Saccharomyces cerevisiae S288C: one gene and its partners. The protein of the gene in region 1 interacts with the protein of each later gene in a biochemical or structural test. Each region holds a gene or a part of one and is shown on either strand. Other genes may lie near its edges.

Region 1 (8,260 bases):
TCTTATTCATAAAGCGATGAATATTATGTTCATTATTGCCATGTACTACCATTGTCACACCCTGGGCTGGATGGGTTGGATTTGGTCAATGGCTGGTATTTTATGCTTTGATAGATTCTGCAGGATTGTTAGAATAATCATGAATGGTGGCTTGAAAACTGCTACTTTGAGTACCACTGATGATTCTAATGTTATTAAAATTTCAGTAAAAAAACCAAAGTTTTTCAAGTACCAAGTAGGAGCTTTCGCATACATGTATTTCTTATCACCAAAAAGTGCATGGTTCTATAGTTTCCAATCACATCCATTTACAGTATTATCGGAACGACACCGTGATCCAAACAATCCAGATCAATTGACGATGTACGTAAAGGCAAATAAAGGTATCACTCGAGTTTTGTTATCGAAAGTTCTAAGTGCTCCAAATCATACTGTTGATTGTAAAATATTCCTTGAAGGCCCATATGGTGTAACGGTTCCACATATCGCTAAGCTAAAAAGAAATCTGGTAGGTGTAGCCGCTGGTTTGGGTGTTGCGGCTATTTATCCGCACTTTGTCGAATGTTTACGGTTACCATCTACTGATCAACTTCAGCATAAATTTTACTGGATTGTTAATGACCTATCCCATTTGAAATGGTTTGAAAATGAATTGCAATGGTTAAAGGAGAAAAGTTGTGAAGTCTCAGTCATATATACTGGTTCCAGTGTTGAGGACACAAATTCAGATGAGAGTACAAAAGGTTTTGATGATAAAGAAGAAAGCGAAATCACTGTTGAATGTCTCAATAAAAGACCTGATTTGAAAGAACTAGTGCGCTCGGAAATAAAACTCTCAGAACTAGAGAATAATAATATTACCTTTTATTCCTGCGGGCCAGCAACGTTTAACGACGATTTTAGAAATGCAGTGGTCCAAGGTATAGACTCTTCCTTGAAGATTGACGTTGAACTAGAAGAAGAAAGTTTTACATGGTAAGGCCCCTTGTTAATAATTCTTGCACGCATACTTTTGTTATTTTGTTGCTTTATCGGATAAAAGTTAATATAAATCGATGTAAATAATTTTATATAATCATACAACAGGGTAATAAAAAGACGAATATATTCAAATGCGGGTTCTAAATCTAAGTTTCATTCTCACTATCACTGCTTTCTTCCTTTGCCTGTTGAGAGAGTAGTTCTTTCCATTTTTGAGTGAGCTCTCGGATTGCTTCAGGATTTAAACTAGCTTCTACGAGATCCTGTGGAACATGATTTTCGGAGTGCTCTTTTGAAGCGAATCTCCCCGTGTTATGCCTCGTCACTAACCTTAATTCATAATCTTCAACATCATTCTTCGGAGGTGCTATCGCAGCAATCTCGTTCCATGAAAATAGCAAAGAATCTGTCTTCCTGGCAAACGGATTTATATCAACAATGAAGATTTTATTGAAAGGTCTTGGAATATAAACGTCAAGAACGAAACTTTTATCAGGAAACTTGGGCAGGACGACATCATGAACTATTTCATCAATAAGGTCCTTGAAGGTATCTGACAACTCATCTAAATAGTCATAATAATTTAAATCACGCTGGGTGGCCCCAACGATATGCGCATTCTTAACGAAGACCCTAAATTCGAGTGCCGGATTCATATCACACCATTGTCTAAGTACCAAGTCAAATTTCAATCCTTTTATATCATCCCCGTCCACGCAGCCTTTAAATGCTCTTTGAAGGTCATGCATTATGTAATTGGATGCGTTCAACAATAGGTAAAGCTCATTTACCTCGTTACACTTCATAGTGTTATTCGGCAAAATCCAGGTAGCGTCTCTTGGTGCAGACCAGTTTAACTTGGGAGCCACTGCACCTAATTCGTTCAAAGCATCCTTTAATTTCTGGTGTAATTCTGGAAAATCTATCAATGGCTCAACTTCTTGGACAAATTCGGTGGCGGTATCCTCATCGTCCTCCCAATCACTATAGTCATTATCTTCATTTCTTATTATTTCCTCGGTGTACACAGACCTGGAGTTTTCCTCTTGGGGTAGCTTGATACCGTCTTGTTCCAAATATTGAATAAATTTTTTCGGTAAGGATTTTAACACTATGGATTTTGGCACATATTTGGGATACAGTGAGGACCAAAACGAGTAAGAACAGTGTTCAACCTGCGCTCTTGTCACTGGTATATCTATAAAAGTTGTATATTCTTGTGAGGACATCAATAAGTAATTTATGTCAGCGCTTTTTGGACGCACGTTTTAGTTTCACTGGTGGAGTTACGGTATCATTAGCTTCTTAATCTTCCCACTGCATAAATGGACATCGGAAAATATCCGCTTATTATGCCTGAAAAAATAATTTTTTTAACAGAGTTTTCTACGTACTTTTTACTTAACTACTGAGGCAGCGCAACTGTTTAGTATTTAAACATATAAGCATATATATAATGCAAGTAATCAGGAGAACATCTTCGAAAGAGACTTTTTAGCTTTTTCGTTTTGTTGCTTTCTTTTTAATTTAGTATTATGAATAGCTTTCAAAATGGCAGCGTCATTTGGCTGGAAAGTAGTGGCCATTTCTAGGTCATTGAGAGCCATATCTGTGTCATTAACATGGTAATAGGCCAGGCCACGACGGTACAAAGCTTTGGCCTTGGCTTTTTCGTCAGCCGCTTCGGCATATAACACCTCCGATGAGGCTACTAATACTTGCTTGTAATCTTTTAATTTAAGAGCACAGATGGCAATATTCAATGGAATAGACACTTTCAATTGATTGATTTTTTCAATTTGTTCCTTCTCCAAATCTTCTGGGAAATACTCTTTCAAGAATTTATCACATTTGACATATTTTTCTAAAGCCACGGAATAGTTCTGTTTCTTGAACTGTTCAGTACCAATGTTCTTTACCGTTTCGATAGCTTTCAAGACGGTGTCGAAATTCTTCAAGTCAACTTTTTCGTCTTGTTTTAAAACATCTTCATAATTATCGCCGTACTCATCTGTTGGTGTAGCTTCGGCATTCTCTGGCACTTGATAATCGTCAGGTAACACGCCACAGTCATCAATCTTTACATCACGCAATGGCTTGTTGTTTTCTTGGTCACATTGTTGGTTTTCAATCAAACGAACAATTCTTTTACCTTGAATCACTTCACCAAACACAACGTGCTTCCCGTCCAAATGAGGTGTAGGAACACAGGTTATGAAAGCTTGAGATCCATTGGTATTTGGACCGGCGTTGGCCATGGATAGAAGGAATGGTTTATCATGTTTAACAGTGAAATTTTCATCCTCGAATTTTTCATCGTATATGCTCTCACCGCCAGTACCATTAAAATTGGTAAAATCACCAAATTGACACATGAAGTCTTTGATCACTCTGTGGAAAATGGAACCCTTGTACGACAATGGTACATCAGGTTTAGTCTTTGCCATACCAGCATTTCCTTCACACAACTTCAAAAAATTTTCAGCCGTTTTAGGCACTATGTCATTGTACAACTCAAAAACTATACGGCCTTGGGGTTTACCTCCAATAGAAATATCAAAAAAAGTTTTAGGTCTAGTCATTTTTACTCCTTGATCGCCTGAATATTGTCTTACCAGTTTTCTATGTGATGTGAGCGCATCAGCACCTCTGATATTCGACTTATTTAAATAATTTTCTGTCTGAACTTTCTCCAGCTAGGGCGGAAAAATATTCTAGAAGCTCATAGAAATGCCGTTCAAAAGCGTAACAGTTATGTTCTATAAAGGGAAACAATGTGTTTCGATCACTGCAGCTGTCTATTATATACAAGTTATACATCACGACATTTAGATTTTCATTTCTTCTTTTCCGAATCCTTACTGGTCGTCCCATCCACGTCCACTGTGCTTACGCGCTCTCTATTACCATTCTTTTCCCAACACTTCCTAAATAACGCCATCTCGTTGAAGCACTGCCTCCAGTCACCTGTTTCGGCATGGCACAGCTGTAATGCGAGGTTCTCTACGTAGCATCCGGTCTTGGATATTCTCGTGTCCCACACATCCGGGTCTTCGTCTTCTTGGACCTCTTTGTATTCTTCCAGCGCCTGCTTATAATACTCTGAAGTTTCGCCAGTTTCACTCATGACCAGTCTGCCAGTTTTAGCCTGCCAGAGCTTTTCTTTCCCTTTAATCTTCCCTTGTTTGGCGCAACTCTTAGAAGTGCCTTTCACTACCTTTAATGGCTGAGGCCCCTTTTTTTGTTTCGGACATTTGTTGTGAGAAAAAAAAGAAGAAAATAAAAGCATAAATGAAGCGAATGGATGAGAAGAGGGGAGGGAAAGCAAGAACGAGAAGGACAAACATCAGGGACCCATACTTCAATAAATTGCTTGATTTGGTGTTAATCAATTCTTCTAACATCAAACCTCTTTTAGTTTCCTTCGATCGTTTCACGTTGCTTATATTGATTGCTTTTTACTTCTATTTTTTCACTAGAATAAACAAACAAAGACATTCTGTTGATCAAGAAAGTTGAAAATGGTATTTGGTTTTACAAAGAGGGACAGGAGGGTACCTGATTTATCTAGGTATGATTACTACTATCAGAACCATGAAGATTATAACAAAAGTCCTCAGCTCTCTGCTGCTGCTGCCTCTGCTGCTTCTGCCGCATCACCGGATCGAACCAATTACTCAAGGTCGCACTCGCTGGTTAGTCATGCACCTTCAATACCGAGACAAAGAAGTTCGGTAAAGAGCCCAGGAAGAAGGCTTTCCACATCCTCTGCCGCTCCGCCAACGTCCAGGGCAGCAGCTAAGCAGTATTCACAGAAGACTTACTCGTTGAGGTCGCAAAGGAGCGGAGAGTACCATTTACACCCGCCCGGTTATACTACTAATGGGAGCCGTATGAATTCTATGACGTCTGGTGCGAATGTCAGAAGAAACTACGGTAAGAACAAATCGACGGCCGGCAACAATAACGATTCAAGGGCCAACTCCATTACCGTAAAGACTACACAAGTAACAGACCCTTCAGGAAGGACTCAATCAATTACCAAAAAGACAATAAGAAAAATAAATGGGTATGAATACGTAGAAACCACGACTACGACTAAGAATTTGGTTCCATTAGGTGACTCGCAGCGTCATTTCGATGAATTTAGTGAAAATTACATGTTGCAAGATGACGACATTTTAGAGGAACAAGCTAGTGATAACATTCACGATATAATCGAGGAAAACGAAACAGATAACGAAAAGCCATATTCCCCAGTAAGCGAAAGTCATTTACAAGATGATTCAGAGCTAAACGTGGAAAAACCAGATTTCCCACTTGGATCATATTTCCACCATAAGTATTCTACAGACGTTATGCCTCTAGAAGAAGAAAGTAGTTTATCAAACTTCAGTGACGCATTAGATTATATTCCTCCCACCCATCAGACCAGTAGTAAATATATTCATAATAAAAGGAAGCAAGCATCGACGACAAGAAGGAAGAAAAGACCGCCTGCCGTGAAAAACGCAGAAGCAGAGGCCAAGAAACCATTAACCGAAGCAGAAATGTATCTGAAGGCACTAGAGGTTGCTAAAAGAAACGTTTATCACACGGATGCTGCTTCGGATAACGCATCGGCCCCCCTCGGGAGTAACAAATCCAGGAAAAGTAGGATGGGTCAAAAAATGACCTTGAGAAGCAGTAGTGATTCTCCGACGGCGACTGCTAATCTTGTCAAATCTAATGTCGAGGTTCAACCAAAAAGATTTACAAGTTCCTTCTTCAGCAGAAATACTAAAAGCGCCCCCCATGAAGTGCACAATCACTCTGTGTCTACACATTTTAAATCGAATAAGGCTGTTGACCCAGTTCCAGAGCCTAAAAGTGCAAACACAGGGCTAACAGATAAAGAAATGTATGACCAAGCTTTGAAAATCGCACAAGCGAGGTATTACAACTCACATGGTATTCAACCTGAAGCAGTCGATAATAGCACTACGGCGGCTAAACCTCGTCAGGTCGGCGTTAGCCATCTGGGATCCACTGGGAGCATCCCGCCCAATGAGCAGCACTATTTAGGGGATTCTGAAATTCCAGTCCAAAGCGAAGTGCATGAATACGAGCCCATTCCATTGCAGAAGACAAAAACAACTGGTTCTTCCAAAAATAAGTTCAAAACCATGTTCGATAAAGTGCTGCAATTCTCTCAAGAAAACTACGGCTACCAGCACAAGAAGGAACAAGGCGAACAAACTCCAGTTACTCGTAATGCTGAAGAAAGCTTCCCAGCAGCGTCTATTTCGGAAGGTGTGACAACCGCAAAGCCATCTTCAAACGAAGGTGTGATGACGAATCCAGTAGTTACAGATTCACCTTCACCCCTTCAACAACAAATAGACTCGACTACTGCGTCCTCGAATGGGCAAAGTCAGGGCAATGTACCTACCTCCGCAGTAGCTTCAACAACGAGAACAAGATCACCGGAACTGCAGGATAATCTAAAGTCTTCTTCTTCGCTTTTACAGGACCAAACCCCTCAGCGTCAGGAAGACGCCACGGATCCAACAACATCATCGACGAATGAATTATCTGCCGCTGAGCCAACAATGGTCACTTCGACACATGCCACTAAGACAATACAGGCTCAAACACAAGATCCTCCCACGAAGCACAAGAAGTCCAGTTTCTTCACTAAACTGTTCAAGAAAAAAAGCAGCCGTTAGCAGTTGTTTACTCGAATTTTGCAATCAACCCTAATTTTTGAAGCCTGGTTTTAGATTTATTCTCTTCTTTTTCTTCTTGTGAACTTCAATTACTAATGTAACTTAATTTTTAATATAACTTTTACAGTTTAATAATATTGATTTTTTTCGGTCTGGACCAATCGCGCCGCATTTCTCACTAATATTACTAACATACCCTCTTCTCATTGGCTCGGTACCCCTTTCGTGACCCGCATTTTTTGTTTTCTTTGTTAGCCCGAATGTCTCACAATGAAGATGTAAAATTAAGATTATATATGAAAAATTGATACAAAACAAAATAGTTCAAATAATCAAGTTAAAGCGACATCACTCTCAATTTTTGCTTTTTTTAGGTTTATAGAATAGAAATATAACAGAACGAAGCCTTTAGACTCTTTTTTTTTATTGGTATATTGAACAAAGAAACTTTTTTTTTGTCCTCCCATATCTCGTGCACACAAATATTATGTCCATTGTAGCACTAAAGAACGCAGTGGTGACCCTTATACAGAAAGCGAAAGGTAGTGGTGGAACCTCAGAGTTGGGGGGGTCTGAATCAACTCCCTTGTTGAGGGGTAGTAATAGCAATAGTTCAAGGCATGATAACTTATCCTCATCTAGCTCGGATATTATCTATGGTAGAAATTCAGCGCAGGATCTAGAAAACTCACCGATGTCAGTAGGGAAAGATAATAGGAATGGCGATAACGGTTCGGATAACGAAAAGGCGAACCTAGGGTTCTTCCAATCAGTAGATCCTCGCGTAATTAGCGATTTGATTATCGGGCTAAGCGACGGTTTAACCGTCCCCTTTGCTCTAACAGCTGGTCTATCTTCACTTGGTGATGCGAAATTGGTCATTACCGGTGGCTTTGCTGAGTTGATCTCAGGTGCGATTTCTATGGGCCTTGGTGGCTATTTGGGAGCGAAGAGTGAATCTGATTATTATCATGCTGAAGTAAAGAAGGAGAAAAGGAAATTTTACGATAACTCCAACCTAATTAACAGAGAAATTGAAGACATTCTGTTAGAGATTAACCCTAATTTCTCGGACGAAACAATCGTTTCGTTCATCAAAGATTTACAAAGAACACCTGAGCTAATGGTTGACTTCATTATCAGGTACGGTAGGGGTCTAGACGAACCTGCCGAGAATAGAGAACTAATCAGTGCAGTCACTATCGGTGGCGGTTATCTACTTGGTGGGCTAGTACCACTAGTGCCATATTTTTTTGTCTCAGATGTGGGCACAGGTCTCATTTATTCTATAATAGTCATGGTTGTAACATTATTCTGGTTTGGTTACGTAAAGACAAAACTATCCATGGGTAGTGGCAGTTCGACTTCAAAGAAAGTTACGGAAGGTGTTGAAATGGTTGTTGTGGGTGGTGTAGCAGCAGGTGCGGCTTGGTTCTTTGTTAAGTTACTGGGTTAAGTGTAAAGTAACAACACTATACATATTTATTGTAAAGAAATTTGGGATTGAGAAGCTTTGCTATATACTTGGAACTGGGCTGGATTTTCTCGACATACATTTCTTTTACGTTTTA
Region 2 (8,679 bases), on another chromosome or scaffold:
TATTAGTGATACTAGAAGAAATACTTGTTCCTGTTATGTTAATCGCGAACGGAGCAATGGTGGCTAATTGAGTTGCGGATGATGTTGTGGAGTTGGAGACATATGGCGGATTAGTAGATTGACTTGCAGATGAAGCTCCTGAAACAGTAGTGTTTGCCAGGTATGGAGAGCTAATTACAGATTCAAGAACAGATGAGGATGAGAGTGTAGTGGAGTTACTAACATATGAAGGAGTAGTAGTATGTTGGGTAGCTGATGATACTGATATTGTGACGTTACTGGTGTATGATAGAGTGCTTGACAATTTTTCAGCAGATGAAACTGCTATAGTAGAAGTAGATTGGGTAACAGCGGTAGTTGTAGAATTATCAATGTAGGAAGCCTGTGTGACAGATATACTAGCTGAACTGATAATACTATATGTTTCAGTAGCAGACAGAGAAGATGAAGGAGTAGTAAAGGTTGAGTTTGAAGAACTTGGAGCCGATAAAGAAATACTTGAAGAAGAAGCTTGTTCACTGCTAGAAGAAACCGTAGAGACAGCGGACATGGAAGCGTCCGCCGAGGTGCTAGCACCGTCAACTGTAGAAGAAAGGATCCCGCTACTCAATGATGCAGTAACCGCAACTTCAGGGATAGCGGATGATTGCGAAGTATAAGAAGAAAGCGTTGAATTTGAGTATGTTGGTGTTATAGCAGCATCAGAGCTAGTTGTGTCATCACTGGTGGTGGAATCAATGTTAGCAGCTGACTCAGAATATAATTCTGAGGCTAGGGTGGTTGAAGTATCTCTCTTTCCTAAAAGTCTGACAGATGTACCTTCATCGGGATATGTTAATTCGACAGTATTTGATATGGACGAGGTAGATAGCTTCTTTGTGAAATAAGTCACACGGAAGTATAGCCCACCGCTGATTGTAGAATTAAATAAACATCTAATTTCATCTTCTGTGGAGTAGTCATGAACAGTTGTATATGGGATAGCATTAATAGGTTCGTTAAAAGAATCAACGGCAGTGACAACCTCAAACTTAGTTAACGAAGTATCGAATACGTAATCTGAGGAGGAAGATGTCTGAGAAGTCAAATAAACGGGATTTCTGAACGTTCTCATTGGTAAGTCAACGGTAAACCAGGCGGTATTATTAGTTTTGTATATACCACCATCTGTTGTTATAGCAGAAGTATTTTTAGCGACGTAATCAATAACGTCATTAAACATAGTATTTTCTGAATAGAAACTGTAAACGATGCTTTTTGGTTCTGTAACTTTGGATTTAGCATCTGATGTAAGCTGTGCAAGGAAGTTAAATGTAGTAGTTATATCTTCTGAACTCTTTTCTGGAATAGAAATGGTGAAATTGTTCGTCGATTTATCTGGGCGTGATATCGTGGCAACACTGTTAGAATTATGTTTTATGCTGAAGGGTTCTTGAGGGAATGAGCTGAAAGCATCTGGTACTTGGAATGTTATATTTTGCTGACTTCCCTTTGGAATAGACAGTTGCCCTTCTATTATGAACCAATGATCTGGATCCGTACATTCTTTTGTTTTGGTATAACTATCTGTTATTTGAATATCTTTTAAAATCGGTTGCGTTTGTGTGAGAGCGTTTGCTAGGCCGAGTATCGAAATGACTCGTACTAGATGTAACAATAGTTTATTCATTGTAGTGTTTTATATTATGCTTGTTTATGTTGATTCTACTGAAAGAAAACCATCAGAAAGTTTGAGTCTAAGGACACAAGTTTTAGGTCGGCAAGAATGTATTCTGCTTTTATATTTGTACTGTTATGGACGAATAAAAAAAAAACAAGCCACATTAAAAAGGAAGTACTAAATCGTATTCTTAGCATCAAACCAGCATCTTACTCATAAAAGCTTGAGTACCTTTTCGGAAGTGTCAGCCGAAAGTGTCAGTAAATTAGTCCCTTGTCAGCCTGCTGTTTTTCCTCACGGCGCGGAGCCAGCGCGTCCGAATTAGGAAAATAATAGAGCCAGCAAGAACCATTTCACTAAAGAGGTTACTAAAGAGGTTACTAAAGGAACCAGCAGAGGCTATATTAGTTGTGAATGGTACCATTCTATGCATAAATTTATTGGGATATGATCCTCCATGGTGGGACTTCGTTTAATATCAAATCCTTAGCACTGTTTTTTTTTGCTTTTTCTTTTTTGTGTTTCTTTTTCTTTGGCAGGGAAACGACATATCCAACATCCCATACACTATTGATCTTCGTTATGGCATTACTGCCACGCTCAACGTCATTTTTCGTCTTGTAGCTTATTCTCTGATTATTGTTATTGCAAGAGGTAAACGCTCATTGTGAATAACAATTTCGGAAACGGAGATACAATCTAGAAAAAAATAACAACAAACGAATTCGTTGCTAGGATCCACTCAATACACAGTATAGCCACAAAGAATAGGATATTCCAGCATGGTTTTGCCTATAATAATTGGTTTGGGCGTGACAATGGTTGCTCTAAGTGTCAAGTCTGGTCTCAATGCATGGACCGTCTACAAGACCCTGTCCCCTTTAACTATTGCAAAACTAAATAACATTCGCATAGAAAACCCGACGGCGGGCTACCGCGATGCACTTAAGTTCAAAAGCTCACTGATAGACGAAGAACTGAAAAATAGATTAAACCAGTACCAGGGAGGCTTTGCACCGCGAATGACAGAGCCCGAAGCCTTGCTCATCTTGGATATCTCCGCCAGAGAGATTAATCACTTGGATGAAAAATTACTGAAAAAAAAGCACAGGAAGGCTATGGTTCGTAACCACCCAGACAGAGGAGGGAGTCCCTACATGGCGGCCAAGATAAATGAGGCGAAAGAAGTTCTCGAAAGAAGTGTTTTACTAAGAAAGAGATAAAAGAACTTTATATATCATGTAGCCAATTGCTACACTTCCTTACACCACATAGTATACGGCGATAATCGTCAACACTTCCGGGAAAGTGCGGCCATCGGAGACTTTCAAACAAGTCATTAGAATTAGAACAAAGAACAGTAGTGGAGAGCATATATGTGTTTGCATACCCTCCAAAAGAAAGCGATTATAGTAACATTAATATGAAGGCATCGCTTACGTTTAGTCTCTCCGGAATATACGCCCCCTGTAGCATTTCTAGGGATATATATCTCGAATACGGCGATAAAAAAGCTGAATGTTTATATGGGACAATTAGATTGCCTCAGTACGGTCCAGGTTGCACGCCTGGTAAAATTGTACATTGTGTCCTGGATGATTCACTGCCCTTCTGTAGCATTGTTGTACCTTCCAAACTTTTTGGGTTTATGCCGACACAGCCCACTATGGATTTTTGCTATTTTGAACCCATATTAGACAATGTAGTACCTGTACTGGATAGCGTAACGTTTCTGATTAATGAACAATTGTACTCAAAACTAATGGACCTACCGCAAGAGATGCAACAAATACAATTTTTGCATTACAAATATAACATCAACTCCATGGAAACCGTGGTTCATTCTCGAGATATTTTAACATCTGGTCTTTGCCAAATTTTAAACTGCTCACCTTTCCCGCAGGGCCTTGTTGATTTTACAGAAACCCAATTGATATTAGTAAATGATACTGAGCAGAAACTAAGTGCTCTAAAATATGCTAACGAAGATGAAGAATATGCATTACCTAAAATAGGGACAAATTCTGCTTTATCAATTGATCTTGAATCTCTCCCCTGCACAATTTCAAGAGATCTTTTGCGACCTGCACCTCACATCAATGATGATAATTCAATATATGCCTTTACAGACGCTGAAACTCTACTGCGCCTGGATGTCACAAGTGGATCGTTTATAACAGTGTCAAATATGGGTTGCGTCAGGCTAGTTAAGCTGTTTGTTTTACTACTCCCCAACGGCTTTAAAAAAAGAACAATATACGCACCTCCCAAAATAATAGCAAGCTTTCCAGACTGCAGCGTCGTGACAATATCAAAGTCCAATATAGGCCATACAGATATTCCCATTGCTAATCAAGTTTTCATCTCAAGAGTTGGAGGCTGGCTTCAATCTCAGAAATGCTTTCAAAATATTATTCTAACAACCTTGAAAAAGTTTTTTAGCGAGAGCAAAAGGATTCTTTGTCAAAATGATTTAATCCCAATCGCTTTTGATTCAAGTATGGCTGATCTCAATATAGCAGAGGAAAATGATGAGTCTGATGACGAAGATGAGCTAGGGCAGTACTACAAGAACGATTCCCTTGTATGGTTCTTTGTCACAAGCGCAGAGCTCGATTGCTTCTCTAAAGATAATTCTCATTTTATTATTGATCCCAATCGGACGAAGCTAATAACAACTAATATCACTAACAGAAGACCATTACCCTTGAGTAGATCCAATCTTCAGAGATATTACGGTTTTGCTGAAACTTTTTACTATGATTTGCATATCTTCCCCTATGTAAGACAATTGGTTAACATATTAGAAACTTCCTTCAATTGTTCTCAAAGGGGAATCACCCTAAATGCCTCTGTGTTACTTCATTCCACTACAAACAATGTGGGCAAGGCTACAATGGTGAGATTTGCTTCAAAATATCTTGGTATACATCTACTGGAGATAGATTGCCTTTCGCTCACTTCAAATTCAAGACAACTGGATTCAACATCTAAGATTATTGGTTACATTAGGGCTAAATGTGAAAATGTCCTACCGTACGCATCACCTGCTGTGATTTTTTTGGCTCATTTGGATTCAATTTTGCTTGACGTAAACGCTAATCAAGATCCAGAGGCAATCAAATTACAAAAATCTATAAACTTCGAAATGTCTAAACTTCTGGACGATTTTACGTTTAAATTCCCAGGAACTACATTTGTTGGCTCCGTAAATAACATAGATAACGTGCCTTCCAGCTTTAGATCACATATGAGATTTGAGATTCTCGTACCCGTTCCGTCTGAAGCACAGAGACTGCGTATCTTTCAGTGGTACTTATCTTCACATGAACTAAACAGAGATGTTCAACAAAAGGTTCCAGTATCTTACATGGATAATATTTCATTTTCATCACTCTCTTCATATTCTGCTGGTTTAACTCCTTTAGACATCAAATCAATTGTGGAAACGGCACGAATGACGGCTACTGCGCGTTTTTACCAAGAATCAAAGAAGTGTGGATGGCTTCCGCAATCAATTTTGATCACTCAGGAGGATTTATCAAAAGCTACTTCGAAAGCTAGGAACGAATTCTCGGTTTCGATTGGTGCCCCACAAATCCCTAACGTAACTTGGGATGATATAGGTGGTATTGATTTTGTTAAAGGTGAAATATTGGACACAATAGACATGCCGCTAAAACATCCTGAATTATTTACCTCAGGTATGAAAAAGAGAAGCGGTATTCTTTTTTATGGTCCACCGGGTACAGGTAAAACTCTAATGGCTAAGGCCATTGCAACAAATTTTTCTTTAAATTTTTTTAGTGTTAAAGGCCCTGAACTGTTGAATATGTACATTGGTGAGAGTGAAGCTAATGTGCGCAGAGTGTTTCAAAAGGCGAGAGAGGCTAAACCTTGTGTCATATTTTTCGATGAAATCGATTCAGTAGCACCCAAACGTGGTAATCAAGGTGATTCGGGTGGTGTTATGGATCGTATCGTTTCACAGTTACTAGCAGAGTTAGATGGTATGAGTACCGACGCTGACGGTGTATTTGTTATCGGAGCAACAAACAGACCAGACTTATTGGACGAAGCACTACTAAGACCAGGACGATTCGATAAATTGTTATATTTAGGCATTCCGGATACGGATACCAAACAATTGAATATTTTAGAGGCTCTGACTCGCAAATTCGTGCTCGACAACGACGTAAAGCTTATTGAGTTGGCAAAGCTATGTCCATTTAATTACACCGGGGCAGATTTTTATGCTCTCTGCTCAGATGCAATGCTTAACGCCATGTCAAGAATTGCACGCATGGTAGAAAAAAAAGTTTCTCAGCATAACGAATTGACGGGAGAGAATATTTCTACACGTCGCTGGTTTGATAAGATTGCGACAAAAGAGGATACTAAGGTTGTCGTAAAAATGGAAGACTTCTTGAAAGCACAAGAGCAGCTCACCCCAAGTGTGTCGCGGGCTGAACTGAATCATTATGAAGCGGTGAGAGCTAATTTTGAAGGTGCTTAAGTAATATCAACTCAGAGCGTATAGGTAAATTTGTAAATATATGTCCCATATTTTGCCTTGAAATTTATCTTTTTATTTACTTACCCTCCCCGGCTCATAGTATCTATCGAAAGGGAAAAACAGAAAAGATACTAGTAGTTGATTATACATAATAAAAATTTGAAGTAATAACCATAAAGGTTCATAAAACAATTGCGCCATACAAAACATTCGTGGCTACAACTCGATATCCGTGCAGATGGTATATGAAGCAACACCTTTTGATCCGATCACGGTCAAGCCAAGCGATAAAAGACGCGTTGCATATTTTTACGATGCAGACGTTGGGAACTATGCATATGGAGCAGGTCACCCGATGAAGCCGCATAGAATAAGAATGGCACATTCCCTTATTATGAATTATGGCTTGTACAAGAAGATGGAAATTTACAGAGCTAAGCCGGCAACGAAACAAGAAATGTGTCAGTTCCATACTGATGAATACATTGATTTTTTATCGAGGGTTACTCCAGATAATTTAGAAATGTTTAAAAGAGAAAGTGTCAAGTTTAATGTCGGAGATGATTGTCCTGTCTTTGATGGGCTCTATGAGTACTGTAGCATATCTGGTGGTGGCTCTATGGAAGGAGCTGCTCGTCTGAATAGAGGCAAATGTGATGTTGCTGTCAACTATGCGGGTGGTTTGCATCATGCAAAAAAATCGGAAGCTTCTGGGTTTTGTTATTTAAATGACATAGTACTGGGCATTATTGAGCTACTACGATACCACCCCAGAGTTCTGTATATTGATATTGATGTGCACCATGGTGATGGTGTAGAGGAAGCGTTTTATACAACGGATCGTGTCATGACATGTTCTTTCCACAAATATGGTGAGTTTTTCCCTGGCACAGGTGAACTGAGAGATATAGGGGTGGGTGCAGGAAAAAACTACGCGGTCAATGTGCCATTAAGAGACGGTATTGACGATGCTACGTATAGATCTGTGTTTGAACCTGTGATAAAAAAAATTATGGAATGGTATCAACCTTCTGCTGTCGTGTTACAGTGTGGTGGGGACTCCTTGTCCGGCGATCGTCTTGGTTGCTTTAATCTTTCCATGGAAGGCCATGCTAATTGTGTAAACTATGTGAAATCCTTTGGGATCCCAATGATGGTTGTTGGTGGAGGAGGCTATACTATGAGAAATGTTGCAAGGACATGGTGCTTTGAAACAGGTCTACTAAATAACGTTGTCTTGGATAAAGATTTACCGTACAATGAATATTACGAATATTACGGTCCAGATTATAAGTTAAGTGTTAGACCTTCGAATATGTTCAATGTAAATACTCCCGAATATCTTGACAAGGTAATGACCAATATATTTGCTAATTTGGAAAACACAAAGTATGCCCCTAGTGTTCAGTTGAATCACACACCTAGGGATGCCGAAGATTTGGGTGATGTTGAAGAAGATTCTGCCGAGGCTAAAGATACGAAGGGTGGTTCGCAATATGCGAGGGACCTACATGTTGAGCATGACAATGAATTCTATTGAAAAAAAGAGTTGGAAGTATATACGAATATAAATAATGTGAAACAAAAGAAGAAAAGTGAATAAAAGGCACTTAAGACGCTATCCAATTGTGTATGAGAAGTGCAAACTCAATTTTTTTGCAAAAGACTTTTCTCAAACCTTTAATTGATGCGTTCCGTTCATACATCAACCGCGTCCCATACGTTTCGAAGAAAATTGCCTATATGTGTTATTTACATACTAGAGATATTTTAATATTGAAACAGTTGTATTTCTATTGTAATTACTATCTAAACGTCTCGTCCCACCGCTGTTGATAAAGCGGTGCCAATATAATTTATAATCACGCCTGGGTAAATGACTTTTAATTTCTTAAATCATCGAAGTATGCGAAAACAAGAAGTCTTTATTCATAATAAAAAACAAATTCGGTTACTACGACTTTTATATGTCATTCAATATTTGGTAATAATTTTACAGTATTAACCCTATCCTCATCTGATTCACTCTCTTCTAATTGCATATATTTTCAAATTCGCTTTCAGCGCTGTACAAAACCAGTAAGCAGATCTCGTACGAAGACTCAAATAAGTTGCATTGTTCGTATTCAAGGAAACCGGGGGGCAAAATTTCCAACCATATTTAAGTATGACAATATTTCCAAGTCAAGGATGCATGCTGTTCTTCTCTTCATTAACTAGCTAACCAATTAGCTGAACGGCTTTGTATTTTACTTAACATATTGTCTATTGCATAAAAAACCACTATTCAGCATGACTGACTTGTTTAAACCTCTACCTGAACCACCTACCGAATTGGGACGTCTCAGGGTTCTTTCTAAAACTGCCGGCATAAGGGTTTCACCGCTAATTCTGGGAGGAGCTTCAATCGGCGACGCATGGTCAGGCTTTATGGGCTCTATGAATAAGGAACAGGCCTTTGAACTTCTTGATGCTTTTTATGAAGCTGGAGGTAATTGTATTG
Region 3 (7,922 bases), on another chromosome or scaffold:
ACCCCACCATCTAACACGCACAATAGTAGGCCAAGCCACGATTTTTGTGAGCTGCATCCTAATAATAGCCCGGTGATTTCCGGCATGCCATCAAGAGCTAGTGCTATTTTCAAGAATTCGATCTTTAATAAATCCAATGGAAGTTTTATATCCCTAAAGTCAAGAAGTGAAAGTACGAGCTCCACGGTGTTTGGACCGCATGATATTCCGAGAGTTTCTACCACTTATCCGAAGTTGAAATGTGACGTCTGCAATGGATCTAATTTTGAATGTGCTTCCAAAAACCCCATTGCTGGCGGTGATAGCGGTTTCACGTGTGCTGATTGTGGTACAATCCTCAATAATTTCAGATAGAGAATCAGAAAGTAAGAGGAAAAACTATCTGTTCCACCGTCTTTAGATCATAAGCATGTCTGCAAATAACATAGTATTATTATTTATATCTGTAGCGATCTTTATTATTTTTCATTACTGACACATTTTCTCACAGAACCATCTACAACCCGAAAGATGCCGGAAACGGTCTTAGGCCGATGGGGTCTATTAGGGCCTACAGAGACGTCAATTGGGCTATAAGAAAAATGAAATCGAGGAAAGATTTTCCACTCTCAAATTAAGTAGGGCAAAAATATGCTTTTGTTCGCATGTGGTGTTATTCCAGTTGCGAGTCAGGGTCTGCCGATATGCTAAAGGAGGTCACGAAAACGAATCTGGCATTTAATACCTCATTAAGTTACAGCGGAATCGGCCTTCTGTTGCGGAAAAAAAAAAAAAAAAGAAAACGAACATTAAGCACCGCTGAAATTTCAAGCTGTGACTAAGTCGTCAAATGATAAATACTGCATATATATAAACTATGTGATTATATGCAACATTAAGATATACTTTCTTCTTCCATAATGCCCCCACTCCAGAACTCCATCCGAAATAGTTTTCCTTAGATTGCTATAGCAAGTCAGACACAAGCACATCTCATCGAATTATATCGTAAGCAAATATGTCATCTGACAACTCTAAACAAGATAAACAAATTGAAAAAACAGCCGCCCAGAAGATATCGAAGTTTGGTTCGTTTGTGGCTGGTGGGCTAGCAGCATGTATAGCTGTTACAGTTACTAATCCGATCGAATTGATTAAAATCAGAATGCAGCTTCAAGGTGAAATGTCAGCATCAGCTGCAAAAGTTTATAAAAATCCAATCCAAGGTATGGCGGTAATTTTCAAAAACGAAGGTATAAAAGGTCTGCAAAAAGGGTTAAATGCTGCTTATATCTATCAAATTGGGCTAAATGGTTCCAGATTAGGGTTTTATGAGCCAATCAGATCATCATTAAATCAGCTTTTCTTCCCAGATCAAGAGCCACATAAGGTACAGAGCGTCGGAGTTAACGTCTTTTCTGGTGCCGCATCTGGTATAATTGGTGCAGTCATTGGCTCTCCATTATTCTTGGTGAAAACAAGACTTCAATCATATTCCGAGTTTATAAAAATTGGTGAACAAACGCACTACACCGGTGTTTGGAACGGGTTAGTAACCATTTTTAAAACCGAAGGTGTTAAGGGTCTATTCAGAGGTATTGATGCGGCAATTTTAAGGACAGGTGCTGGTTCCTCTGTTCAACTACCTATCTACAACACAGCAAAGAACATTTTGGTCAAAAATGATCTGATGAAAGATGGCCCAGCATTACATTTAACTGCTAGTACTATCTCTGGGTTAGGTGTTGCCGTCGTTATGAACCCATGGGATGTCATTTTGACAAGAATCTATAATCAAAAAGGTGACTTGTACAAGGGACCTATAGATTGTTTGGTCAAAACTGTTAGAATCGAAGGTGTAACCGCTTTGTATAAGGGTTTTGCAGCTCAAGTGTTCAGAATCGCACCTCATACAATCATGTGTTTGACCTTCATGGAACAGACAATGAAACTAGTTTATTCGATAGAGTCGAGAGTTTTAGGCCATAATTAATTCCCATAACAAACTCCGAGGTTTGAAGTTTCATTCATTGGCCAGGACAGTTCTACTTTACTAATGGTTTCATTACAACCTTTTTCTTCATATTATGTAGCATTAAGGATAATAGAGCATTTTTTATTTCACATTCATACACGATAGTTTTATAAACGTAATTATAAACATACAGAACATTATTCACAATTGTCCAGTTCCAAGAATTATATGCTCTCGGATCTCGGAGTTCTTATTTATAAAATGATCAGTTACAGTGTAATCTTGCTTAGAACTTTCTTTTTCTCAACCTTTGTTTTTTCTTTTACTTTTGCTTCTTCGAGTTTTTTCAGATAGCTGTTATACACAACCACATCTGCTACTAAGACCAATATTCCAAAGAACAAGCACAACAAAAGACGAACATGGACCGGAAAGTTTGTTGAAGATCCGGTCCAGTACCAAATGGCCACAACAACCGATATGACACTTACAAGAACGTTGAAAACAGTGGTAACTTGTTCCTTAATCTGTTTATTAATTTGTGAAGGCGTGAGTTCATCGTCTTCTTGAAGTGAAAAGACAGACTTGCTTCTCTTGACCATACTTTGATATTCAAGTTCTTGTTCCTGATATTTCAAAAACTCTAATTTTTTCTTGAAATCCTCTGAATAGTGTAAACCTCTGACGGCCTTGGGCTTGAATTCGAACTCCAAAGGTTTCAAAAGTTCTTTGATAGAGCATTGGAGATCACTGTCTTTTCTATACTCTTTCACATAAAAAAGAAGTGACTGCATAGGTATTGCGTGTCGCTTCAGGAACAAATCAATGTCCTCATCAATTCCTTCGTTTGATTTCGCGCTATTCTTGAACTTTCGCAGAAATTCAGTTATTCTATCATTCAGTTTAATTTCGAACATTAGAGTTCTTTTATGTGATGCCAATCGTCAATTATCCTATCTTACCTTTTCTTCATTTCTTTCAGCGTTTTCATGTGAGATTTGCTTTATTTTCGCTTCCTCGTTTCTCATTTTAAATATTCACACGTCCGTCATGTCTACTTTGAGTCAGTTAAATACACAAGATTTTTGTAAAACTGAGTATTTCGTGAACAATATAATTGTTCGGATTCAATCATAGTTAAAGACTATAGTATGAGATACACAGAATATCCTAAAAGTTCCCCTCGAGGGTATAGGAAACCTCAAAATGGAATCGGTCTTTCTACATGATAATATTACTCTAACTTCTTTTCTTCTATACTTTGCCATTCATTACCCTATCACGTTATCAATCCTTGCATTTCAGCTTCCATTAAGACCGATAACTGTTTCCCAATCTCTATGTCATCATCTTACACCGCTGTGATAATATTCTAGGAAGACGAATACTAGCCAATAGATGATACAAGGATTTCATTTCGACAGAAACAAAAAAAGCATGGAAAAACGAATGGAGACAAAGAGGAAGTTAAAGAAAGTTCATTTGTGACCTCATTTACTCAGAAGAATTTCGTAAATCGGTTGTTATAGAACTGTTTTATTGTTTAAAAGAGCTTGTTATAGTAATCTAAGTGGAAATACACTAACAGTAAATAGGGCGTGTGGCGTAGTCGGTAGCGCGCTCCCTTAGCATGGGAGAGGTCTCCGGTTCGATTCCGGACTCGTCCAATCTTTTTATACTTATTAATAATTTTTTTCCTGCCGTTACTTGCTTTTAAAATAACTGCCTTTTATGAATACAGAGTATAATTTTTGATATACAAAGAGGTTGACTGTGATAATCAATACTTAATTTGTGGTTATTGGTACACATATACCTACAAAAGTTACCAACAAACTGTTCGACTTTTAATGCTACCCGCCTTCCGAGTGTTTTTGAAGGGGCGGAGAGGAGCGGCAAGAATTAGCATGGAAAAAAGCATAAAAAGACGAAATGGGTGGCAATGTATTAACTTGTTCGAGAAACCTAGTGGACTCAATTCATTACAACAACAAGTTCCCAAGATCATCGATTCATAATAGTCATGTCCGATAAAGTTATTAACCCTCAAGTTGCATGGGCTCAAAGGTCTAGTACTACTGATCCAGAAAGAAATTATGTCTTAATAACTGTGTCAATTGCAGACTGTGATGCCCCTGAGTTAACCATTAAGCCATCATACATCGAATTAAAGGCTCAATCAAAGCCTCATGTTGGCGATGAAAATGTCCATCATTATCAATTACACATTGATCTATACAAGGAAATTATACCTGAAAAAACAATGCATAAGGTTGCTAATGGCCAGCACTACTTTTTGAAATTGTATAAAAAGGATTTAGAATCTGAATACTGGCCACGTTTGACAAAGGAAAAGGTGAAGTACCCTTACATCAAAACTGATTTCGATAAATGGGTTGATGAAGATGAACAAGACGAAGTTGAAGCTGAAGGTAATGATGCCGCTCAAGGAATGGATTTCAGCCAAATGATGGGAGGTGCTGGAGGTGCTGGAGGTGCTGGAGGCATGGACTTCAGCCAAATGATGGGAGGTGCTGGTGGCGCTGGTTCTCCAGATATGGCTCAATTGCAGCAATTATTGGCTCAAAGCGGTGGTAATTTGGACATGGGAGATTTCAAAGAAAACGATGAAGAAGATGAAGAAGAGGAAATAGAGCCGGAAGTGAAAGCTTAAAAGGAGGAGCAAATCAACCTGGAGTGCTAGAATGAGTAACTTAGAATAAAAGACGAATATATGCACTTTACACAACTCTTTACCTGTTTGTTATTGGCTGCCTCTATGTAATTAAATATTATGGAATTAATAAAAATATTTTTATTCGTAACTATCTTAGATATATATTGTACATTGTCAAAAAGACAGTAGTAAGCAGATAGAAGCTATATTGGATGCAAAATAGAGAAAAAAGCAGAAATATTATGTTGCAAATGTCAAGTAATGGAACTGTATGTGATATTTAAAGAACAATTTCTATATGCTGGATGATTATCAGGTGTAAGCAATAAGAAAGAAAACGAAAGTAACTCCCATCCGTGGGAAATTTCAAGAAAAACTTAGAGTATCAGCGATCGTTTTAACGAAGGGGGATTCGTAAATTTCATTAATCGACCAACGTTGGTTCTTCCTCGTTAGCGTATTTTCCACAATCTGTTTTCCCACATTAGTTTTATAATCGCTTAACCGGTACCATCTCCAATCAAACCTGGCAATACGATGTGACGTAGCTCTGCTACGCTGTCTTGCTGAAGCGTTTGGAGGAGGGTCAAATGGTAATCTGTCCTCAAACAAGCTGTATAGTATGACACCTAAGGCCCACGTGTCGCTTAAATGGCCATCGTAGGGAACTCCCATCAGGATTTCTGGTGAGACATAATCCTCTGATCCACATCTTGCTGTACACATCTCATTGTTCTCAATTTTTTTGCAGAGACCAAAATCTGCTAGCTCAATGAAATTTTGCTTGCAGTAAATGGGTGAGTCCCTAAAACTGTTGATATCATCAAAACTATATTTCAGTAGTATATTCTCTAATTTTAGGTCCCGATGAATAATACTGTTTTCGTGCAAATATTTTACTGCCAGTACTACTTCCGTAAAAATCCTTTGAATCAGCCACGCTTCTAGTCTTCCGTTACGGGCCATGACGGCAGCTAATAAGTCTCCTGCAGGACAATAAGACATAATCATATCACAAGGCGGCAGAGCTCTTGGAGTTTTTATAATCAAATCGCATAAAGGTTTTTTGCTAGTAACAAAAATTGGATTGTTTATCCCAAGTAGTTTAACTATACATGGGTGATTTAGTGATTTTAGCACCTGCAATTCCCTAGTCAGAGAATTTTCCAAACGGGATAAAGTTTCCTTATATCGTAACGATGTATTGATTTGTTCAACATTTGATAATTCCTCGGGATATTTGAGTCGTTTAACGGCCACTTGTTTCAGTTTAGGATTGCTTTGGTCCATGAGTTCATATAAAAGTACGGTACTAAAATTTCCTGAACCAATGGGCCTGACCTTTTTCCATAATAACGGGCGATCCCAGTGATCTAAAAGAAATCCCTGAAATATATCATCGTCACACTTTTCGGTAGAACTACTACTTTCGGGAAAATAAGGTTCTTTCGTGTAGTTATCACTATCAACAGAATCATTTACTAAAGCCTCTTCAGTCACTGTTGGTAAGGAAACAACCCTTTGGGGGGATAAATTAGCTGGTGCAATAAGTTCAGAAACAACTCTTTGGTTTGGTTGTGTAACAGAAAGCATATCATCCAGTAATCGTGCATGACTTCGTCTTTTGGGTATATTCAACGAGGATTGATCTATAGGTGACATTGACAGATTGCCTGGGGATAACGGAGTGTAGGTCATCGGTGTAGGTAATGCTTGGACATTTTCAAACGTCGGAATAGATACAGTCAAAGGTGTACTGCGAGAATCACCAGTGGTCCCTTCAGTGGATGCCATTTTTTTATCTTCCTCACCATTTTCATCAATCAATGCCTTTTCGTGTTGATCGCCAATGGAGTCGGGAAATCCTTCTTGTTTCAACCGAGGAGTCTTTGGTTGTGAATATATACTACTATATTCATCCATTGTCGGTATAACCTAACAGCTGCTGTGGGTATGGATGAATTCGAAGCGTAGATGTGATTACTATCTCAAAATATACTTGTCTAATTGTGTAAAAAAGAAAAAAAAGATAAAGAACACACCCCGCGTTGAAGATTACAAGTAAAAAACTTTCTATGCTTAGGAATAACGTTCCATAAGAGGATGGTGTGCTCAGCCTTCTTAGTTCATTTACTGGAATGTATTTAACTTTACCCTTTTCGTCTGCTAATCCATCAGTATGTGAAAAATGAAAATCTAAAAAAAAAAAAGGCTGCCTTATTCTGTAACGCAACGCGAAACATCTATAAACCAAGTAAGTAGTTTCTATGAAATGGGCAACAGCATCTTGGATGACGAAGGGTAGCATTTAGTTACGTACGTTGAGATAATCTACAAAAATTGATTACGTATTTAAAATTCTTCTCGCTTCTCATTATTCTTTCTTAGTCTTCCTCTTCTTTGTCATTTGTGACAAGATATCATTATCGCTTGGCTCTGCAGTGGCTTTCTTCCTCTTGGTGCCCCCAGCTCGCTTCTTTTGTTTAACCTCAAACTTGTCTAACTGTTCCTTACGCGATTTAGCACCTAATTTCTGCAGCGTATCATTTTTTTCTTTATACTCCTTGTCTTCTAACAATTCGCTCTCACTCTTTGATTCCAACCACTCCATAAGTTTGATTTCATTACCATAGCCTTCATCATTTTCGTATGGAGTTTCCAAGACAATAGGGATACCCTGCAGGTATTCAGAGTGCGCGATCATTCTAAACACATCTATACCCAAATAACCTTGACCCAAGCGTTCATGCAAATCTCTATTTGCTCCTAAAGGAGCCTTGGAATCATTTAAGTGAACAGCACTTAGATATTTGAACCCTATTACATCATTGAACTCTTTCCAAAAATTGTTAAACGTTTCAGTGGTGCTGATATCGTAGCCTGCTGCAAATGTATGGCATGTATCTATGCAAACGCCGATTCTTGATTTATCTTCAATCATTCCAATAACCTCCTTCAAATCTACCAGAGAACTTCCTACTAAATTTCCAGTACCAGCCATATTTTCTAATACAATTTTAACAAATTTCGTTTCCTTAATTGCTTTGTTCAAATATGAGGCTAGTTGTTTTAACTGCAACTGATGGTCTCCTTTCAAAGTAGAACCTGGATGTAAGTTATACAGGCCTATCCCTAATTGCTCACACCTGTTCAGATCGTCCATGAATGACTCATAACTCTTTTCTGCCTTTTCCCTATCCGGATTAGCCAAATTAATAAAGTATTGGCCATGCGGTAAGACGTCCGTCAATGGGTTATAATTGTAAGTTGCACAGTTTTTCTTAAATTTAT
Region 4 (4,394 bases), on another chromosome or scaffold:
ATTAATAGATTTTAATACATTTTCTATATCATTGGAGAAGTGTTCTTTTTCATAAGATGTCAAAGAATGTGACAGAGTATTCAGCTCACTTCGAAGACTTATGGTCTTCTTCTGCAAGGTCTTATAGTCACTCGTCTCTGAGAGTTCTCGTTCGAGCTCTACACAAAAAAATAGTATACGAAAATATGCAATGTTAATTAGTTGGACGCATAATGAAAGCAGATGAGTTTCAACATACCCTTTATCTTCGCAGTAAAGTCCATTTATGCTTAAGCTATTTCAGTTATATTCTTAAGTATATTTCACGATTTCAGATTCTTCGCGTTTTGTATGACACACTAGACGCGTCGGAATAGTGAAAACTCTAAAAAAATACATTGTAATGTTTTACCCAGTTATTTCCATGCAGATGCCCTATTTACATACTTATTTATTCATTCGAATACCTATACGTTATATTATGTTTTGTTTATAACCTATTCAAGGCCATGATGTTCTACCTAATCTACCTCTTCCATTTCGGTGTCAGCTGGAACCTCTTCAACCGGAGCTGCGGTGGATGCTTCTGGAGCAGTCTCTGTTTCTTCATCCTCATCAATGTTCAAACCCAAAGAGATCAATCTGTTAATTCTTGATGCAAAGGAAGTTGGTTCGTCCAAACTGAAGCCGGAAGTCAACAAAGCAGTTTCATATAATAACTTAGTCAAGTCCTTGACAGTCTTGTCTTGAGCACCACCTTCGTCAACTCTCTTTTTCAATTCCTTGATAATTGGAGATTTTGGAGAAATTTCGAAAGTCTTCTTGGAAGACATGTAGGAGGACATGGAAGAGTCTCTCAAGGCTTGAGCCTTCATGATTCTTTCCATGTTAGCAGACCAACCAAATTGACCAGTTCTGATAGCAGCTGGGGCATCCAACAATTTGTAAGAAACAACAACTTTCTCCACTTGGTCACCCAAAATTTCTTTCAAGGCCTTGGTCAATGGTTCATATTCTTTGATCTCCTTCTCTCTTTCAGCTTTTTCTTCGTCAGTTTCTTCCAATTCGAAATCTTTAGTAATGTCAACCAAAGTTTTACCTTCGAATTCCTTCAATTGAGTGAAGGCGTATTCATCAATTGGGTCGGTCAAGAACAAAACCTCGAAGTTTTTAGCCTTCAAGGCATCCAAAAATGGAGACTTTTCGACAGCCTTTAGAGATTCACCAGTGATGTAGTAGATGTTCTTTTGGTGTTCTGGCATTCTGGTAACGTAATCAGTTAAGGAAGTCAACTCATCTACGGACTTGGTAGAGTTGTAACGTAACAACTTAGCCAAAGCAGCCCTGTTTTGGGTATCTTCATGTACACCCAACTTGATATTTTTGGAGAAAGCCGAGTAGAACTTTTCAAATTGTTCAGAGTCTTCAGCAATTTCGTTGAAGGCTTCAATCAACTTTTTGACAATGTTCTTTCTAATAACCTTCATGATCTTATTTTGTTGTAACATTTCTCTGGACAAATTCAATGGTAAATCCTCAGAGTCAACAACACCCTTGACGAAAGATAACCACTCTGGAATCAAGTCTTCAGCTTCATCAGTGATGAAAACACGACGAACGTACAACTTGATATTATTCTTCTTCTTTTTACTCTCAAACAAGTCGAATGGTGCTCTCTTTGGAATGAATAAGATAGCTCTAAATTCCAATTGACCTTCAACGGAGAAATGCTTAACGTACAATGGGTCTTCCCAGTCGTTTGAAATAGACTTATAGAAAGCATTGTATTCTTCTTGAGTGATATCAGATGGGTTTCTAGTCCACAAAGGCTTAGTCTTGTTTAGTTCTTCTATCTCTTGAACTTCTTCTTTAACTTTTTTCGTCTTTGGCTTCTTTTCCTCTTCTTCATCGACTTCTTCCAATTTTGGTTTCTTGTCGTCTTCATCCTTCTTTTCCTCATCCTTCTTTTCCTCGTCTTTCTTTTCTTCTTCTGGAATTGGAACTTCCTTTTCAACTTCCTTGGTGACGACTAATTGGATTGGGTAGGCCACGAACTCAGAATGTCTCTTGATAACTTCCTTTATTCTCTTTTCTTCCAAGTACTCCAATTGGTCATCTTTCAAGAATAACCTCAAGATGGTACCCCTACCAATTCTTTCATTAACTTCGTCTAGAGTAACAGTGAAAGAACCACCAGCGTTGGATTCCCAGATGTATTGTTCGTCGTCGTTGCTCTTTGAAATAACCTGAACTCTGTCGGCAACTAAGAATAAAGAGTAAAAACCAACACCGAATTGACCAATCATGGATACATCGGCACCAGCAGATAGAGCTTCCATGAAGGCTTTGGTACCAGACTTGGCAATGGTACCCAAGTTATTAATCAATTCAGCCTTGGTCATACCAATACCAGAATCTCTGATTTCCAAAACTTTTTGCTCTGGCTTTGGAGTGATTCTAATAAAGAGATCTGGTTCTGTTTCCAATTGCTTTGGATCAGACAAAGATTTGTATCTAATTTTATCCAACGCATCCGAGGCATTAGATATCAGTTCTCTCAAGAAAATTTCCTTGTTAGAATAGACGGTGTTGATGATCAAACTCATCAACTGAGTAATTTCAGCTTGAAATTCAAAAGTTTCACTAGCCATATCTTTGCGTGTTTGTTTGTGCTTTTGTTTATAGGACTCTATTTTCTATCAGGTATGATTTCTTGAACTCTAATACAGCGGGAAGAAATGAGGAGGTCACAGATGTTAAGAATTGAAGGGATAAGCTGCATATTTATATGTTTTAGGGGGTGGCGGAAGGACCTGGTTGGTATTAAGATGAGAATTAACCGCTCATAAAACCATGCGCGTGTTTTTCTTCCACGGCGTTCTAGAAAAAAAAGAAAAATTCAAAAAGTTCTGCGAAACTCGAAAGAACCAGAATTGTTCGAACAATATGTGACAAGCGTATGAGTTAATAATCCGATTAAGCTTTATTCCTGTTCTTTTTTACGTGTATGTAAAACTGGTTTATGGATTACTGTGTTGAGAGAGGGGGGGTGACACCCTCCGGAATGTGATATATCACACGCTTGCACGTTGGTTCATATCGTAACCACGAAGAATACAAATACGCACACGCAAGCTAAGTTATATTTTAAAATATTCTGTCATCAAGCTTCCAAATACTTCTAACCATCTCTTATTCTCCTCTTAGTAGCCATTCTTTGCCACGAGGAATAAAAAGTCCCGCGCCACTAATTACAGGAAAAGAAAAATAGGACAATTCCATTTGATGTCACCGTGGTAATATCACCATGAACGATGATATGAAATTTTCATAGAATAAGAAGGAAAAGTAATAAAAGAAAAAGAGAATCTGAGAAAAAATCGATGAGTTAATTATCATTTGTGTAAAACAAAAACGAATTGTAATACGATAGGCAAAATTGTTCGCGCTCTATCTCAAAGAAAGTAATTATTTCCAAATAGAAAAAAAAAATCTACATATACGCAGATATGGGCCTACACAGTGAACCGTTAGATCAAGAGGACCAAGACACCATAATACTCGATGCAAGAGCTGGCGATTTGGATTCTCTGAAAGATATATTTACAACTTTAGTCAGTCCCGAGTTACTTTCGACTTGTAAGGAAAGTGAATCTGATTCTACGGCTTTACATATGGCTGCTGCCAACGGTCATATAGAGACCGTTCGGTATATACTGGAGACGGTTTCTCGCGCAAATAGTGCCGAAGACTTGAAAGCTTTTGTTAATGAGGTGAACAAAACAGGCAACACGGCTTTACATTGGGCGTCGTTGAATGGCAAATTAGACGTGGTCAAGCTACTGTGTGATGAATATGAGGCAGACCCCTTTATTAGAAACAAATTCGGCCACGATGCTATCTTTGAGGCCGAGAACAGCGGGAAGGAAGAAGTGGAAACATACTTTTTGAAGAAGTATGATGTCGAACCTGAAGATGATGAAGAAGACACACAAACTGAGGGCAAGAATTCGGTCCAAATCACAAAGGGTACAGAAATTGAACAAGTCACCAAGGAAGCCACCGAGGCTTTAAGAGAAGAAACCGAGAAACTGAATATAAATAAAGACTAAAGTAAAGAGCTTGTTTTCTTCGTGGAATAAAAGCCGTAATATCCATTGAGCATGATATTTTATTTCTTGGTACCGGAGAAGATAAAAGGATGGAACCAGCAGAAATGCATTAATAAATACAAAAAATTTAGAAAAGAGTTACAGTAATAATGTATATTTCTCTCACAAACTAAGTAACCGCTTCAAAAGCGTATATTTTGAATGCATTGAACTTTCCATTTCATTACCCGCAGAGCCGGAGTCCTCATCAACGACGGAGTGAAAAATTTTGTAATTGCGAGAAAAAGTGAAATTGATGGAAAA

Evidence for each region.
Region 2: the proteins of CPR6 (region 1) and RPD3 form a complex in vitro, tested with the Saccharomyces cerevisiae proteins (one study listed by BioGRID).
Region 3: the proteins of CPR6 (region 1) and SBA1 form a complex in vitro, tested with the Saccharomyces cerevisiae proteins (one study listed by BioGRID).
Region 4: the proteins of CPR6 (region 1) and HSP82 form a complex in vitro, tested with the Saccharomyces cerevisiae proteins (7 studies listed by BioGRID).

What each region holds. Positions count from the first base shown.
Region 1 is NC_001144.5:569,649-577,908, forward strand, and holds CPR6 (peptidylprolyl isomerase CPR6), read right to left. Parts: upstream 3,564-8,260; coding exon 2,448-3,563; downstream 1-2,447. Other genes in the region: FRE1 (ferric/cupric-chelate reductase), read left to right, coding at 1-979; cell proliferation protein CDC123, read right to left, coding at 1,128-2,210; COA4 (Coa4p), read right to left, coding at 3,818-4,270; MSC3 (Msc3p), read left to right, coding at 4,503-6,689; CCC1 (Ccc1p), read left to right, coding at 7,177-8,145. UniProt on the Saccharomyces cerevisiae protein: PPIases accelerate the folding of proteins. It catalyzes the cis-trans isomerization of proline imidic peptide bonds in oligopeptides.
Region 2 is NC_001146.8:17,038-25,716, reverse strand, and holds RPD3 (histone deacetylase RPD3), read left to right. Parts: upstream 1-6,414; coding exon 6,415-7,716; downstream 7,717-8,679. Other genes in the region: EGT2 (Egt2p), read right to left, coding at 1-1,669; MDJ2 (Mdj2p), read left to right, coding at 2,443-2,883; PEX6 (AAA family ATPase peroxin 6), read left to right, coding at 3,084-6,176; AAD14 (putative aryl-alcohol dehydrogenase), read left to right, coding at 8,469-8,679. UniProt on the Saccharomyces cerevisiae protein: Catalytic component of the RPD3 histone deacetylase (HDAC) complexes RPD3C(L) and RPD3C(S) responsible for the deacetylation of lysine residues on the N-terminal part of the core histones (H2A, H2B, H3 and H4).
Region 3 is NC_001143.9:216,347-224,268, forward strand, and holds SBA1 (Hsp90 cochaperone SBA1), read left to right. Parts: upstream 1-3,977; coding exon 3,978-4,628; downstream 4,629-7,922. Other genes in the region: DGR2 (Dgr2p), read left to right, coding at 1-354; OAC1 (Oac1p), read left to right, coding at 998-1,972; VPH2 (Vph2p), read right to left, coding at 2,224-2,871; serine/threonine protein kinase PRR1, read right to left, coding at 4,998-6,554; DNA-(apurinic or apyrimidinic site) lyase APN1, read right to left, coding at 7,006-7,922. UniProt on the Saccharomyces cerevisiae protein: Acts as a co-chaperone.
Region 4 is NC_001148.4:95,996-100,389, forward strand, and holds HSP82 (Hsp90 family chaperone HSP82), read right to left. Parts: upstream 2,631-4,394; coding exon 501-2,630; downstream 1-500. Other genes in the region: GTPase-activating protein CIN2, read right to left, coding at 1-158, 239-263; YAR1 (Yar1p), read left to right, coding at 3,489-4,091. UniProt on the Saccharomyces cerevisiae protein: Molecular chaperone that promotes the maturation, structural maintenance and proper regulation of specific target proteins involved in cell cycle control and signal transduction. Undergoes a functional cycle that is linked to its ATPase activity.